2 linked regions of the Tribolium castaneum genome follow. The protein of the gene in region 1 purifies or fractionates together with the protein of each later gene. This does not show direct contact. Links are inferred from orthologs where the notes say so. Each region holds a gene or a part of one and is shown on either strand. Other genes may lie near its edges.

Region 1 (7,289 bases):
TTTTTATAGAAAAATATCGATAGTTTTGCAGGTTGTTCTCAATACTAGTTTCGGACGACTTTCTACATCAAATATGAATTAAGTAAACGAATTCCATTACTTGAACACGTGTATACTTACTTTGCAAACTTCCAGATTAGTTTCCTATTGTTACAAGAAAGTTACTAAATAATAATTCACAATAAAATATATCGTTACGTACCCAGTTTTTGTATTTTTAATTTCTTTCACTACCTACTGGTTGAAATAAAACATGCAAGCAACATTTTATTGTTATATTTAAAAACAATTTATACAAACCATAAATACCTACTATACTTGCACATACCTTGTAATAAAAATGGTAACTATTGTAAATGAAATTGACTTGGTAAAAAATGCACAACCAAATAAACTAACAGATGCAAGGCTTCGGTTGATCGCACGAGCGCAATTGATTTGTCTCGTGTGAACAACTCGTTATTTGTACGAAAGCGTATCCCGCCATTTCCTAAAATACGAAATAAATAACAAAGTGCTCCCTAACATCGTTAAATTAAGTACGCGATTTTTAAAGTCCTAATATTAAAAATCAAGAAATTATTTACATTTGCGCGCACCTGCACACGATTTCGTGGAAGGAACAGTCCTTGAATAATGCTAAAAACGTGCATAATGCAAGTAAAAAATCCTTTTGTTATATTTCTAGTATAAATAATGCAGACATTCTGATACAATTGTGTCTATTTATAAAAATATTATGCAGGATTAATGCGTTTTCTGTTTTTGCACTGCACGCATTGACTTCCAATTGGAGTTCGATTTAAATATTTAGGACGTCAACTTCAAGGTGGACAATTTGAATTTTAGAATAGTGCTCATACATCCAAGCCGAACAAAATGCCGAGATACGCATTAACAGCTCGTTAATACAAATGACTAGAATTTATTTTAATACTATTTAAGTATCGATTACTTGAAAAAATGTAAACGTACATACATACATATTTACAAGAGTACAACCTAAAACATTGGTAACAAATCAAGATTATACGCTTTAGTACAATTTATGGTTTCATTAATGCATTTGTTAGATATCTGCAAACTTATCCAAACCTTTGGACCTGTACAAGATGAGTTACATCACTTTCATCGATAAAAAAATATATCCGATGCTATCGAAACCCAAAATAATTGAAATATTCAGGCTTGCGTTTGCATTAGGAAATTTTGGGTTCAAATAGCAAAAATGCATTTGCAATGACAAAAAGTTACATTTATCAATTTATTACTTTGCGAAGCAGAGTGAGGACGAATATGCTTACATTTCATGGTTACAAAGTTACGTAACTACTGGTCGTGGCAAAATAAATAATAAATAATATAAAAAACAACAAGCTTAATACCAGATCAAGAATTTTAAAATCATGATAAATAAACATTTGCTCGAAAATATCACAGAAACAAACAAGAAAACAAAGTTCTGAAATTACAAGGCAACAATGGCTTATTTTTCGAGACTTGTACACGACTACATTGACTGCCAACGTAAAAAATTAATCAAAAATGTAGTCATTCTACAAAATTGGCACCACCAAGGCCGGATCGAGGGTAAAAAGTTAAAACAATTAGTAACTTACTGATAAATAATATTTCTTCAGAAGACTGTGTTTAAATAAGCAACAATATCACTGTTTTTGAACCAAAAAAGTATCACTTAAACGCTAAAATACGCAAAAATAATGCATTTTTAACCCAATCAGGAATTTTTGTGTAACAATTTCATGTCAAACGTACTTAAAAAAGTTCGAAAATTGCAAAAATTGCTCCACATTTAAATCACTCGCGTGATATTTCCGTTCATTTGTAACAAAATGTGTTAAACTATTGGTAAAAGGCTCAATTTTTTTTTTTTCGATAAAACAATTTATTTTTTTATTTTGTAATTTTTTGGTCAACCCTTGTCTAAAAATATCCTGAACTTTCGATGAATTTGTTCCTAAAAATAAATAAAGTCTCGATCCGGTCCTGGAGGTCATTGCTACTATAAAATTACCTCCGTTTTTTCAATAAAAATGTTTGTTCTACTTTGCATAAAAACATATCTGGGGTCAAACGATCACTAAAAACACCATTATGCATTCATATGCAAATTTCGATACTCATTAAACAGATAGATATCAAACCACGTCATTACAATTTTTAATAATTACGACTTTTTTCATTGTCTTTTATTTCAGCTGCGTAACTCCTGTATTTTGGCAGTGTTATTAAAATTTGTTACTGGGAGGCAATTTTATAGCAGTAATGATGAAAATATTGCAACAAAAAATTGCAAGAAAGCACCCAATTTGAATTGATTCCCTAAAAGTCTACTCACTCAATGTTTCTGTTTCAGTGTTAAAAAAGTGGCAATCAGGTCACGGAATATGGCAAAATGTTTATTTACTTAGTGCATTTGATGTAAAAAGTGGTAGCATCTAAAAAATAAATAAAACGTATTAAAACGAAATCAATTCCTCCTTGTGGACTGTTATTTAGTTAAGTTTGTGACAACATATACTTCAAATGCACCTCTCTTAGTCTACTGTTATAAAAATTCTACATCTACCATTGTTTAAATTGTCCTACATACTCATTTTTAATGGAAGTATGACTGACTGAAGTAAAATGTAATTATCACATGGGCAAACCTGCTGTCCTGAATGAGCCATCTTGAAGCATCCAACCCCTTTTTTCAGTTAATTAACAGACTAACGTCAACTTCCAGCTGTGTTAGCCATCTAAAGGTGGTCCGAGATACACCATTGAAACTTCAGTGTTTCCGTAAACGGCAGAAACTGTTGGATACAATTTTTTATCTGGCAATCCTGAAACACCTCATGAAACACCATCTCGCTCCAAAAAGCGCTTTACCTCTAAAGGCCACTCCCAAAAACTCGTAGTTTTTTTCAAAAGATAGCGTGTTGTCATCACAATCTAAAATCACCCGAATTCGCTCCCCAACCTGCAAAACCCAACTAAGACAAAAACTAAAGTCTGTTTTTTATTTAAACGGAAAACCAACCGCAAAACAACAAATAGCGTCAAAAAATTATAAGTTTTAAAAATTAAAAAGTTGGTCACTTTCTGTTATGCAAGATTAATCTTATTTCAAATTTTAACCAAGAGAAGTAAAGTGTCGAACTTACAAATAGAACTTATACAACACGTACGTACTAATAATGTTAGCAAAAAAGCACTGTTTCTATTTTTTATTAATTTTTAAAACTAAAGGTGGAAAACCATTTTTTTTAATTTTTTGAAATCCCCAAACTAATTTAAAAAAACTAGGTAAAAAGGTATCCTAAAGAGCACGAAAAAAAGCTTGCCATTAAAAAAATATTATGCCCTCATTCTTTTTGGGGACACTCCATATAATCAAAAATATTATCCTAAAATACGTCCTAGATTATAAATAACGTCTACAAAATATCAAAACTTTAACTTTACTAATATGAATTACAATAACATCTTCTGAAATAAACCTGAGTATTTCTAAAATACAGTTGAAAAAGGTGTAGTTTTGGCAAAAGAACTTGCCATTTCCAGTCAAAATAAATAATAAAAAAATTACATAATATAGAGTCTTGGACTTGGTAATTTCCGTTTAAATAAAGAACAGACTGTAGGTGGACCAGCGAACTTACTTGATATTTAGGGGCATTGTTAAGTAGCGGGTAATTGCCTTGAGCATCTCCATTGTGCAGTAAATGATTATCAACTAAGTTCCAGCCCCAACTCTGGTCGTCCGAGCCCAGCAGGGCCACGTAACCGTGACACTGCAGAGGTGCGTCTTTTGTGGCAATTCCTATGACGGCGACCGTCCCCAAGGGCCCTTCCCAGATCACCTCCCAAGCGTGTCTCCCATGTCTAAATCCGATTTTACCTCTCGAAGCGTCCGTGCTTTGAGCTACGGGATTTCGGTGTAACGTGAACCCATTAGGCTTAATATAAATATTTCTAGAGCAGTCGTTCGGATTCCAGGCGTGGTAAAACGCCCGCAATTTCGCTTTATACGTAGGAACTGAAGACAACAAATCTGACTTTAGTGCTTCTTCGGCTAGTTTCCGAATACAGTGCAGCCTCCAAACGTCGTTATTTTCATCATTTAAAAAACTATACCATCTCTTACACACTAAAGAACAGTTCCTCAAATCATGCAGAGACAAATATGAAAAAATTACTTCCAACACATTATCGGGCAATGTTGATGCTACAGCGGCATCCATTTTTGAACGGACCAACCCGTCTGACACTTGACACTTGACAGCGATACCAACCGCTCGAACCGACTGATTGCGATTTCAATAAAATCCGCTTAAATTATTTATAAACACGCGAAATTTGCATTCACGACGTCCAATAACGCGGTTTATTGAGGACGCGAACTGATCTAGAAAAATTCACGTATATAATAGAGGTGGTGTTCAACAAAAAATTAGCGACAGAACAGGACATCTCTAGAAACAGACATCGGCAGAATCAGTCAAATCTAAAAAATCATAAACAGAAGCATTCAAAACACTTTTCGAGTCGAAGTATTGGTTTAGAATCGACACCCAGGACACATTTTCATTTTCAGAAATGTATTTATTTTTACATAATTTTTGTATTTAGCAACAATTTTCATTGTTGTTTTAAAATGTTTAAATTTTCGTTTCTACTAAAATTGATTCGGCACTTTTATTCCTCTGAAGCCGCTTTAGCTTTTCAATAAACTGTTCTTTATATGTTACATGTTCGACAAATCTATATTTCATATGCAATATAAGAATACAAAAAAATAGTTTTACGGCTGTAAAAAACAATCAGCAATAAACATATTTATAAATACAGGGTGTCCGTTTGTCGTTTTTATTTCTGATTTCAACGATGTATCACAAAATATGATCAAATATTACATGCTGATCAAAATGGAGAAAAAGCATTTTTACGAAAATTGCTGATCATTATGTGATACATCGAATTGTTAGCAGAAATAAAAAAACTTTTAAAAAATGCAAGTATCAAATATGGCTAAAGTTGAGTGTCGTAACTCTAACATCAAGAACGTCTTGAAAAAGGCAATGACAGATTTGGATTTAAAAAAAAAATCCCCAAAAAAATATTCTACTTAAAAACGTGTATTTTTTTGGTTTTTGCTTTAAAAAATAAAAACAAAAATTACAAAATATTGATGGGGTCAATTCATAACGGTTTGCGTGTGGGTATGAGCTTCTTTCCTTTGCTATTCATGCTATGATGACTAAAAATTCAGTCAGAAGAGTATGAACAATTAGTATTAAGATCTATAAGAAGATAACAGGTCGAAAAACTACATTACATTTACCATATCCACACGCATACCGTCGTGAATTGACCCATTACAACAAATTTTGAGAGAAAATGTGATGTTGGCATTTTTATGGTTTCGAAACAGGTAATAAATAGTATTTTATAATTATTCTTTTACATTTGTGTTTACCGTATTTACTGACTATTTCGTCATTATAGTGCAAAATAGTATTTTTGCAGTAGCGACACCTAGCGAATACTGCCTTTCTAATAATTTAAGGTTCTGTCTTGCACGTTTCTGTCGATGGCCTGTTCGGTGGGTGCACCTTTCCTGACAGCCGCGTATTATTGAAACTGCATCCCTGGGTGTTTTTTCCGGGGCATTTGCCCGGTGTCAGGGCCTCGTGCGCCCCGTGCGGGGGCCGCAAGGCAAAAAGGCGCCAAAATATTTCGAACGCATCGCTCCCTCGTGCCGCTTGCCCGAACTAGGAGCAGCGTGTCCCACGTGAAGGAATCCAGCCAATGGGAGCGATGCCTTTGTACCCGCCGCCAAGCTGGTAGTGGCTTTCCTTGCACGAAATAGCTCATCTTCAAAAACACCCCCAAGTGTTGTATCGCAAGCAAGCAGTTAAAAAGCGCGAAATTAGCAAATTGCGATATTCGAGGAAACTTCGCGAGTTGTTTAAACCGAATTCGTGGTGCGCGGGGTCCGCCTATTTCAATTCCAAAATATCGCCTAGTTACAGTCGCCATTTTTGTTGGAGTTGGATGGAGAGGAGCTCGGATTTAAAAACCGGTGCTTTTTCGACAGTGTCCCGTTTTTGAGGAAATGTGCTAAAGGGGCGGCGAGTGAGTGTTTCGCACGAGAGGGAAAATGACCCAGCAGAACAGCACAACCAACTGGGTGATCCAGGGAGCCAATGGTAATTTTTAAAGGGTTCGGGGGTTTTTCCAAAACGGGGGCCCACAACGAAGTGGTGCGGGGGCAAACAGTTGCCGGTTGGGGGGCTGGGCGGGAAAGGACCGAGTTTCGGGGGAAACCGCCTCGATGTGGGAGGAAAAGCGGGTTCAGTGCACGTGTTTTATTCGTTTTTTCTGTAACAGGGCAGATGATTAAGGTGGTCCAGCCCAGTGGAAAGCCCATAAGTGGCATTGTGACCTCGGTGGCAGGGCAGCCCATGAAGATTTTCAAATCGCCGAACAGCCAGGAACCGCTCCAGGTATTCCACTCGTTCCCCCCTAAATTAATTTGTTTGTAGTTCGTTAAAGATAAGACGGATTTGTTTACATCTATTCCTAAGTTTTCGAACGATTGATCGAATTTTTATCTCGGGGTAATTGCACAATTCATTCATCTCTTTCATCTTTCTTGCATGTCTTTGCCTATTTTCGACTACTTCTGTTTTTGTTTCTAATTTATCTTGACCATAATTATCGCGTGTTTGTGTGGAGGTAGATCAGTATCGCCACGCATTTGTAATGGTTTCGTGAATTTTATTGGATCACAAAAGCAGTTAAACTCATAAGGTTGCGTCATTGAAGAAAAACCGAGCTTTTTACCTCTTGTAAGTTAAATATTTTAGATTGTTTTGTCGGAAACCGGTTCTCAGACCCCACCTTCAGTCACCCCTTTTTCTCTTAATAGGTACAGCAATATCTCAATAGTCCGAAGCTTTTCTCGTCCGAATAGGTTTTTAGATTAACACAAAAATCATAATTATTAGATAAATTATCGAGTGTTATCAACGCCAGTAACAAAACTAGTCGATTTAAACACTTTCTTGTCCTGTCCCTGTAATTGGATTAATCTACATCATTATTATTTCAAGGGAGTTATTAATTTCCACTACTAACTATTTTTATACTTGTGTGCTTACTAAAGCTTCCACGTTTCTTCTGATTGTAAACATAATTACTATGTTGCTACTGGTAATCCGAATTTTTTTGTAGTCCGAATCACCTTCGGATTAACGAAGTGTTACTGTACTATACAG
Region 2 (6,706 bases), on another chromosome or scaffold:
ATGGAGATACGGGAACGGGACCTATCCCATTCGATAGCCCGGGAAAAATACTACGGGGCGGTAGGGTTTTCAAAAGGGCAGAACCACCCCTCTATCTCCTACAGGAACGGAGATATTTCGCATTTTGTGAATTGCAGATTTTCGTAAATTTTTATGAAAAATTTTAGAAATGAAAAAAAAAGGAAAATATTTTGCAAAATTCTTGAGAATTTTCATTGCGTTCCTGTGATCCTGATACGAAATGCATTTTTAAAATTTTGCAATATTTTTATAAAATTGAACTTGAACTTAAACTACCAATTTTTTTTAATTCTTGAGGATTAGAAGGTCAGGTGAAATAAAAGTCCGTAAGATAAGAGTAATTGTTTTATAAAATAAATACAACAAATACAGATAAGAAATTATAACATTAACAACACCAGACTTTGAAATGATTACATTAAAATTCACCAACCAAAAACGAGGAAATTTGAAAAGTCTGAACGAAACGAAAAAATCCGACTTAAAAGAATCTAAGCGTCTCTTCTTATTTGATACTATTTTCGTATATAAAACATGGATTCCTAAAATTGTTAAAATTTCGATTGCCGACTAAACTATTAGACATTTTGACAAGAGCTAATTAAAAATACTTAACTTGAGTAAATTAATTGAGAAAAATACTAATTAAACTAGTGATGTATGATGAAACGGATTATGTTCGACTATATACAATTATGTTGAGCTATGACAAGAATCTTGAGCATGAACCACATCGTCTCTCACTAAAAAAACAATCTCCTTTCGTAATAAACCACGTGATACAATTACCAATCACTTGGCCTATTACTCGTTGTAAACAAACTAATGTGGTAATTTTACTTAAAATGCCATTAACTTAAAACTTACAATCAGTCTCTCTGGTGCAAATCATGTCATGTAAATTTAGGAATTTTACAATTAAACAAACAACGAGTGTGGAAATATTGCAAACTCATCATCCTAAAACAGTATTTGTACTTTGGACACAACACAAAAGAAACTTCCGGACTCAACAGCACCAGATTTTTGAAAAAAACTCCTCAGCTGAAATAACAAGTCGTTAAAATTCGCATACTGTTGATGTCGCCTAAATTAAACGTAATATCACAGAATTACACCATTAAGTGTTTCTGAAAACGTTTAGTAGTTGAAATTATTGGGTTTGTCAAAGACATGAAATTTGATAGCAACATCAGTAGTATGCTTTTTAAAAGTCGTAGGTCTACAAACACGCGCACTCATACAATTTTTTGCAGTCTGTAATTACCTAGAAATGATGGTACTGGAGTTAGAATCGACATCAAAGTCCAACACTAGTAGTTTTGTTTCTTCTGTGCCGTTACGACTTCCAACCGCGCACACTAGTTTCGTGTCGTTGGCGCGAATCCGCCACACAACGCCTCCTGAGCCACCACTGTCCAAAGCCACCAGGTTTCTGATGAACTCGCCGGTGCGAACGTCCCATAATTTTACAGTTCCATCATCCGAGGAAGTTATCACAAAACGATTGTTGAATTGGAGGCAAGTTACGGCTGACTGATGTTTGTATGGTCCTGGAAAATGGAAAGTAACATCAAATCTACATTTGTTTATTACTCAATTTGCTTAATTCACTGCTATTTAATTACATATTTTAACACAACAGTATAAAATGAAATTAAAAGAACAGCTTAATAAAATATAATAAAATGGTTTAGTAGACAACCAACAATACAATGATAAAAATTGTTCTACAAGTATCAGGGCATGCTGCGAGTTTTTTTTTTTTTTTTTTTAATAATAAACATAGGAATATAATTACACTACACTATAACTGCATTTGCTTATTTTAATGATAATTAAGAGTATTTTGTAACAGTGATGTTACAAAAGAGGTGCAAGAATCTTACCTGAAAGGGTTTGTAGGCACTGACCGGTCACTATGTCCCAAACTTTAACGGTGGAATCGGCATTTCCGGACACTAAAATATTATTTCGTAATTCCATACCGGATGTTAGGGACTGGTGACCCATAAGCGTATGTTTGCAAGCTCCCGTCTCAACTTCCCACACTCGAATGCTCGTATCCAAAGAACCGCTGACCACATGAACGCCATCAAACTAGAAAATTAACAAAAAACAATTAAATTAAAGTAAAACAACTAATTATAATGAATGAAATGTTTCATTATGGCCCTCATTCAAAACTGTCATCATCTGATTCTGGAGTTCAACATATCTTAATATGGAACTCGACATAAACCTCAAACCTTTTACTACGTAATCATTGGACCCGTAAACAAAAATCTACAATAATATTACATACAATGTTGTTGTAATTTTAATAGTTATTTACATTATAAGTACGGTTGATGTTTTTTAATTTTTTTAAATTTTCGGATACAGATTTATCACCACAATCTAAAACAAAATACTTTCTTCTCAACACTTGATTAAGTTTAAATACACTCATTAATCATTTGTAAAAAAAATAAATTTTGAAAACGATTTTTTTTGTTTCTGTTTGCAATTTTTACGAAAACTATTAGTCGGAGAGCAATGTCCTTTTTTTTAAAAGATAGATAATTAACAGAGTTTTCCAACGATAATAAACTTCATAAGGTTATCTATAAATAAATAAATAAATGTTCCGGGTACCGAAAATTGACAAAAATTGCGACGAAAATTGAAAAAATCAAACATAAAAAATCGAATATTTGGACTTTTAACAACTTTAGTGGGTTGTTAAGACATGTAGAAGTCCATAAGAATTTGCTGGAGTTAGTTTAAAAAAAAATTTTTTTTCACCTCTTTGAAGGTAAGTGTATTTTACTCAGGAAATTGAGCAAAAAAATTGAAAATTTTAAATCTCGTGAAAAGTTGGTATAATACAGAAAATGAGCCGCTGAATTCAATGGAACAAACCGCATTGCTCTACGACTTTTTGATTTTGAGTTATGAATTTTTTTAATGAATAAAATTTTTCACAATGACAAATGGCTACCCTAAATTTAGGCAAAAAATTTTAAATTTTTAATTCTTGTGAAAAATCGATATAATATGTAAAATGAGCCGTAGAATTCAATCGAACAAACCGCAATGCTCTACGACTTTTAGTTTTTTTTTTATGAATTTTTTTAGTGAAAAACTTTGATCGCCTCTGTAGCCGGAACCGTTGCCCGTACCGGCTCGGGGTTTGGTCGAAAAAATAGATAAAATTAAGCGCTATCAGATGGTTTTTTGTTCGTTGCTCTAAGTTTTACAGTTTCCGAGAAAAACGCAAAAAAAGGTTTCCATTTTCACTTTTTTTCAATTTTTAACCGCCAATTACGGCGAAACTATTAGAGTTATCGAAAAACGGAAAAATCGAGGACAACCGGAATAAAAAACTCTACAAAATGGCATAAGACTCAAGGCGATATCTCGCAAAAAAATTTTCAATTTTCAAACGCCGATTACGGCCAAACTAAAAGAGCTAGGAGAAAACGCTTTTTTAGATCGAAAAGAGCACATCAAAATCTATAAGATAGAATAGGTTTCATTTAATTTTGAGACACTTTAAAAATTGACCGGTTTTAAGGGGGGGGGTGTTAACTTTTTTTTATTTTTTTTTATTTTCTCATTTACGGCTAAAATATTCTAAAAAGTGAAACTGTTTTGATCCATACCTATGCAAAATGATCCGGGGAATCGATTGGCATCAAGAAAATTGCCAAATTCCCAACAGTTTTTTAGTTATGAATTTTTTAAAATTTTACCAAATTTTGCATTTAGCAGCAATTTGCTCGAAAACTATTAGTCGGAGAACAATAATCTTTTTTGAAAAAAATAGATAATTTAAAGAGCTTTCCAACGATAATACACTTCATGGGGTTATCTCTAATAGTTCCGGAGCTATTGCTCGACAAATGTTCCGGGTACCCAAAATCAACAAAAATTGCGACGAAAATTGAAAAAATCAAACATCAAAAAATCGAACATTTGGACTTTTTGTGGACTTTTAACAACTTTTGTGGGTTGTTAAGACATGTAGAAGTCCATAAAAATTTGCTGGAGTTAGTTAAAAAAAAATATTTTTTTCACCTCTTGAGGTACTCAGGAAATTTGAGCAAAAAAATTGAAAATTTTAAATTGCGTGAAAAATTAGTATAATAGAGAAAAAAAGCCGCTGAATCCAATGGAATAAACCGCACTGCTCTACGACTTTTAGTTTTCGAGTTATGAATTTTCTTAATAAATAAAATTTTTCATTATGACAAATGGCTACCCTAAATTTAGGCAAAAAGTTTTAAATTTTTAATTCTTGTAAAAAATCGATATAATATGTAAAATGAGCCGTAGAATTCAATCGAACAAACCGCAATGCTCTACGACTTTTAGTTTTTTTTTAATGAATTTTTTAGTGAAAAACTTTGATCGCCTCTGTAGCCAGAACCGTTGCCCGGAGCGGCTCCGGGTTTGGTCGAAAAAATAGATAAAATTAAGCGCTATCAGATGGTTTTTTGTTCGTTGCTCTAAGTCTTACAGTTTCCGAGAAAAACGCAAAAAAAGGTTTCCATTTTCACTTTTTTTCAATTTTCAATCGCCAATTACGGCGAAACTATTAAAGATATCGAGAAACGAAAAAATGGAGGATAACCGGAATAAAAATGTCATGGGACTCAAGGCGATATCTCAATTTTTCAATTTTCAATCGCCGATTACGGCCAAACTAAAAGAGCCAGAAGAAAACGGTTTGTTCCATCGTAAAGAGCACATCAAAATCTATAAGATAGAATAGGTTTCATTTGATTAAAATGTTTTTTTGTGTTAACAAAATGTTTTTTTTATTTTCTCATTTACGGCTAAACTATTCTAAAAAGTGGAACTGTTTTGATCCATACCTATGCGAAATGATCCGGGGAATCGATTGGCATCGAGAAAATTGCCAAATTCCCAATAGTTTTTTAGTTATGAATTTTTTAAAATTTTACCAATTTTTGCATTTATTTGCAATTTTCTCGAAAACTATTAGCCGGAGGACAATGTTCTTTTCTAAAAAAGATAGATAATTTAAAGAGCTAATTAAAGGTTCTCTCTAATAGTTCCGGAGCTATTGCTCGATAAATGTTCCAGGTACCCGAAATCGACCAAAATCACGACAAAAATTAAAAAAATTAAAAATTAAAATTAAAAATCGAACCAATTAACTTTTTTTCAACTTTAAACAACTCGAATGGGTTGTTAAGAAATATAAAAGTCCACAAAACTTTGCTAGTGTAAGTTTATATTTTTTTTTGTAATTTCACTAAACTAAAAGTTACCAAGTTATTAACGCACCTGTAATGAATAGACACGATTTGTATGACCTTGTAACGTGTGCAAACACTCCTCTCGTTCTGGATTCCAAACTTTAACCATATAATCATAAGCTCCAGAAACCACCAATCGGCCATCATATTGAACACATCGTACAGCGGCTAAATGTCCCACAAGAACATGAAGACATGCCCCAGTTTTAATATCCCACACCCTTAAAGTTGCATCACGAGAACCACTCACAACCCTTAAACAACGACACAAATTAAAAACAATTTTAAAAAAATACTATTCTCTTACTTGTTTCCGTGTAAATGCATACACCGTACAGTTGAAGTGTGTCCGTTGAGCGTATGAATACAATCGCCCGTTTCGGCGTCCCACACCTTCAGTGTTCTATCAGTACTGCCACTGATTATTGTCGCACCGGACATCTGAGACGACCAAACGCCTCCAGTGTGCCCCACCAAAGTGCGCAAACACTACAACAACACTCGTACAAAATTTGCCACTTAAGAAGATGCAAATACGGTTTAGTTAATGAAAAAAGTGTTAATAATTTTTTTCTGCATCGATCTCAACAAGTTATTTTTAATATAATTTACTTAAAAAAATAATTCTAAAACATCAATTAAAATAACTAATGGATGCGAGTGCTGAATAACAAAATTTCTCACAAAAAAAAATATTTTTTTTTTACCTTTCCTGTGATCGCTGACCAAACTTTGAGCGTATTATCATCCGATCCGCTCACAATGCGATTCCCACAGAACTGCAAGCACGTGATCACATGATCATCGTGTCCTTTTAGCATCTTAGGCGGCCTGATCGGTTTGCTCCTCCAGTTCATTTCAATGGCATGTTGTCTCATGTAGGCAGCTTTCCATGGCGACATTTGCGTTCCAGGAGACCTAGGTGAGCACCTCCGTTTAGGTATTTCATCAATGCCTGCTTGCCGACACTTTTCCTTCCACAGTAGATTATCTTCAGCCAGGAAACGCCAACTGCGACAAGTTTGTGCTGCACGTAAAAGGTCTTTCGGTTCGAGAAATGATAAAACGTTCAAAGCCAACTCGCGTGGTAATAATGAGATGAAATCTCGTTGGAATTGTGGTTCAATCACTTGCATCATATGACGGACTTGAGTTGGTTCGCAGCGGGCGATTAGTTCGCTGATTGCGAGAATTCGTTCCGCGTTTGACCATTTTTGGAATTGGGTCAGCCAATCGGACATTTCCGGTGGCGGATTGTCTTTGGTCGGGATTACGAGACGAGATTTTTTGTCGCTAGGGGTGGCACCTGCACGGAACAAAAAAACTAACAGTAAATAAGGTGATTCTTTTAGGGCCTACATTAGAAACTTTTTAACTTCTAATACAGCTAGAGCTTTAAAATTTTGTATACGATC

Evidence for each region.
Region 2: the proteins of Fsn (region 1) and ago purify together in Homo sapiens (affinity purification with mass spectrometry; 4 studies listed by BioGRID and IntAct, counting the BioPlex papers as one, with this or other methods). This does not show direct contact. The link is inferred for Tribolium castaneum from reciprocal best matches to the Homo sapiens genes FBXO45 and FBXW7.

The regions. Positions count from the first base shown.
Region 1 is NC_087398.1:7,903,658-7,910,946, forward strand, and holds Fsn (F-box/SPRY domain-containing protein 1), read right to left. Parts: upstream 4,334-7,289; 5' UTR 4,251-4,333; coding exon 3,669-4,250; intron 3,000-3,668; exon of another isoform or gene 2,987-2,999; coding exon 2,896-2,986; intron 2,850-2,895; coding exon 2,755-2,849; 3' UTR 262-2,754; downstream 1-261. Other genes in the region: Dp (transcription factor Dp-1), read left to right, coding at 6,170-6,218, 6,400-6,515. UniProt on the Homo sapiens protein: Component of E3 ubiquitin ligase complex consisting of FBXO45, MYCBP2 and SKP1. Functions in substrate recognition but also plays an important role in assembly of the complex.
Region 2 is NC_087394.1:36,171,730-36,178,435, forward strand, and holds the end of ago (archipelago), read right to left. Parts: intron 6,598-6,706; coding exon 5,999-6,597; intron 5,781-5,998; coding exon 5,599-5,780; intron 5,546-5,598; coding exon 5,320-5,545; intron 2,963-5,319; exon of another isoform or gene 2,357-2,962; intron 2,308-2,356; exon of another isoform or gene 2,122-2,307; coding exon 1,911-2,121; intron 1,575-1,910; coding exon 1,289-1,574; intron 1,066-1,288; coding exon 1,062-1,065; 3' UTR 355-1,061; downstream 1-354. UniProt on the Homo sapiens protein: Substrate recognition component of a SCF (SKP1-CUL1-F-box protein) E3 ubiquitin-protein ligase complex which mediates the ubiquitination and subsequent proteasomal degradation of target proteins.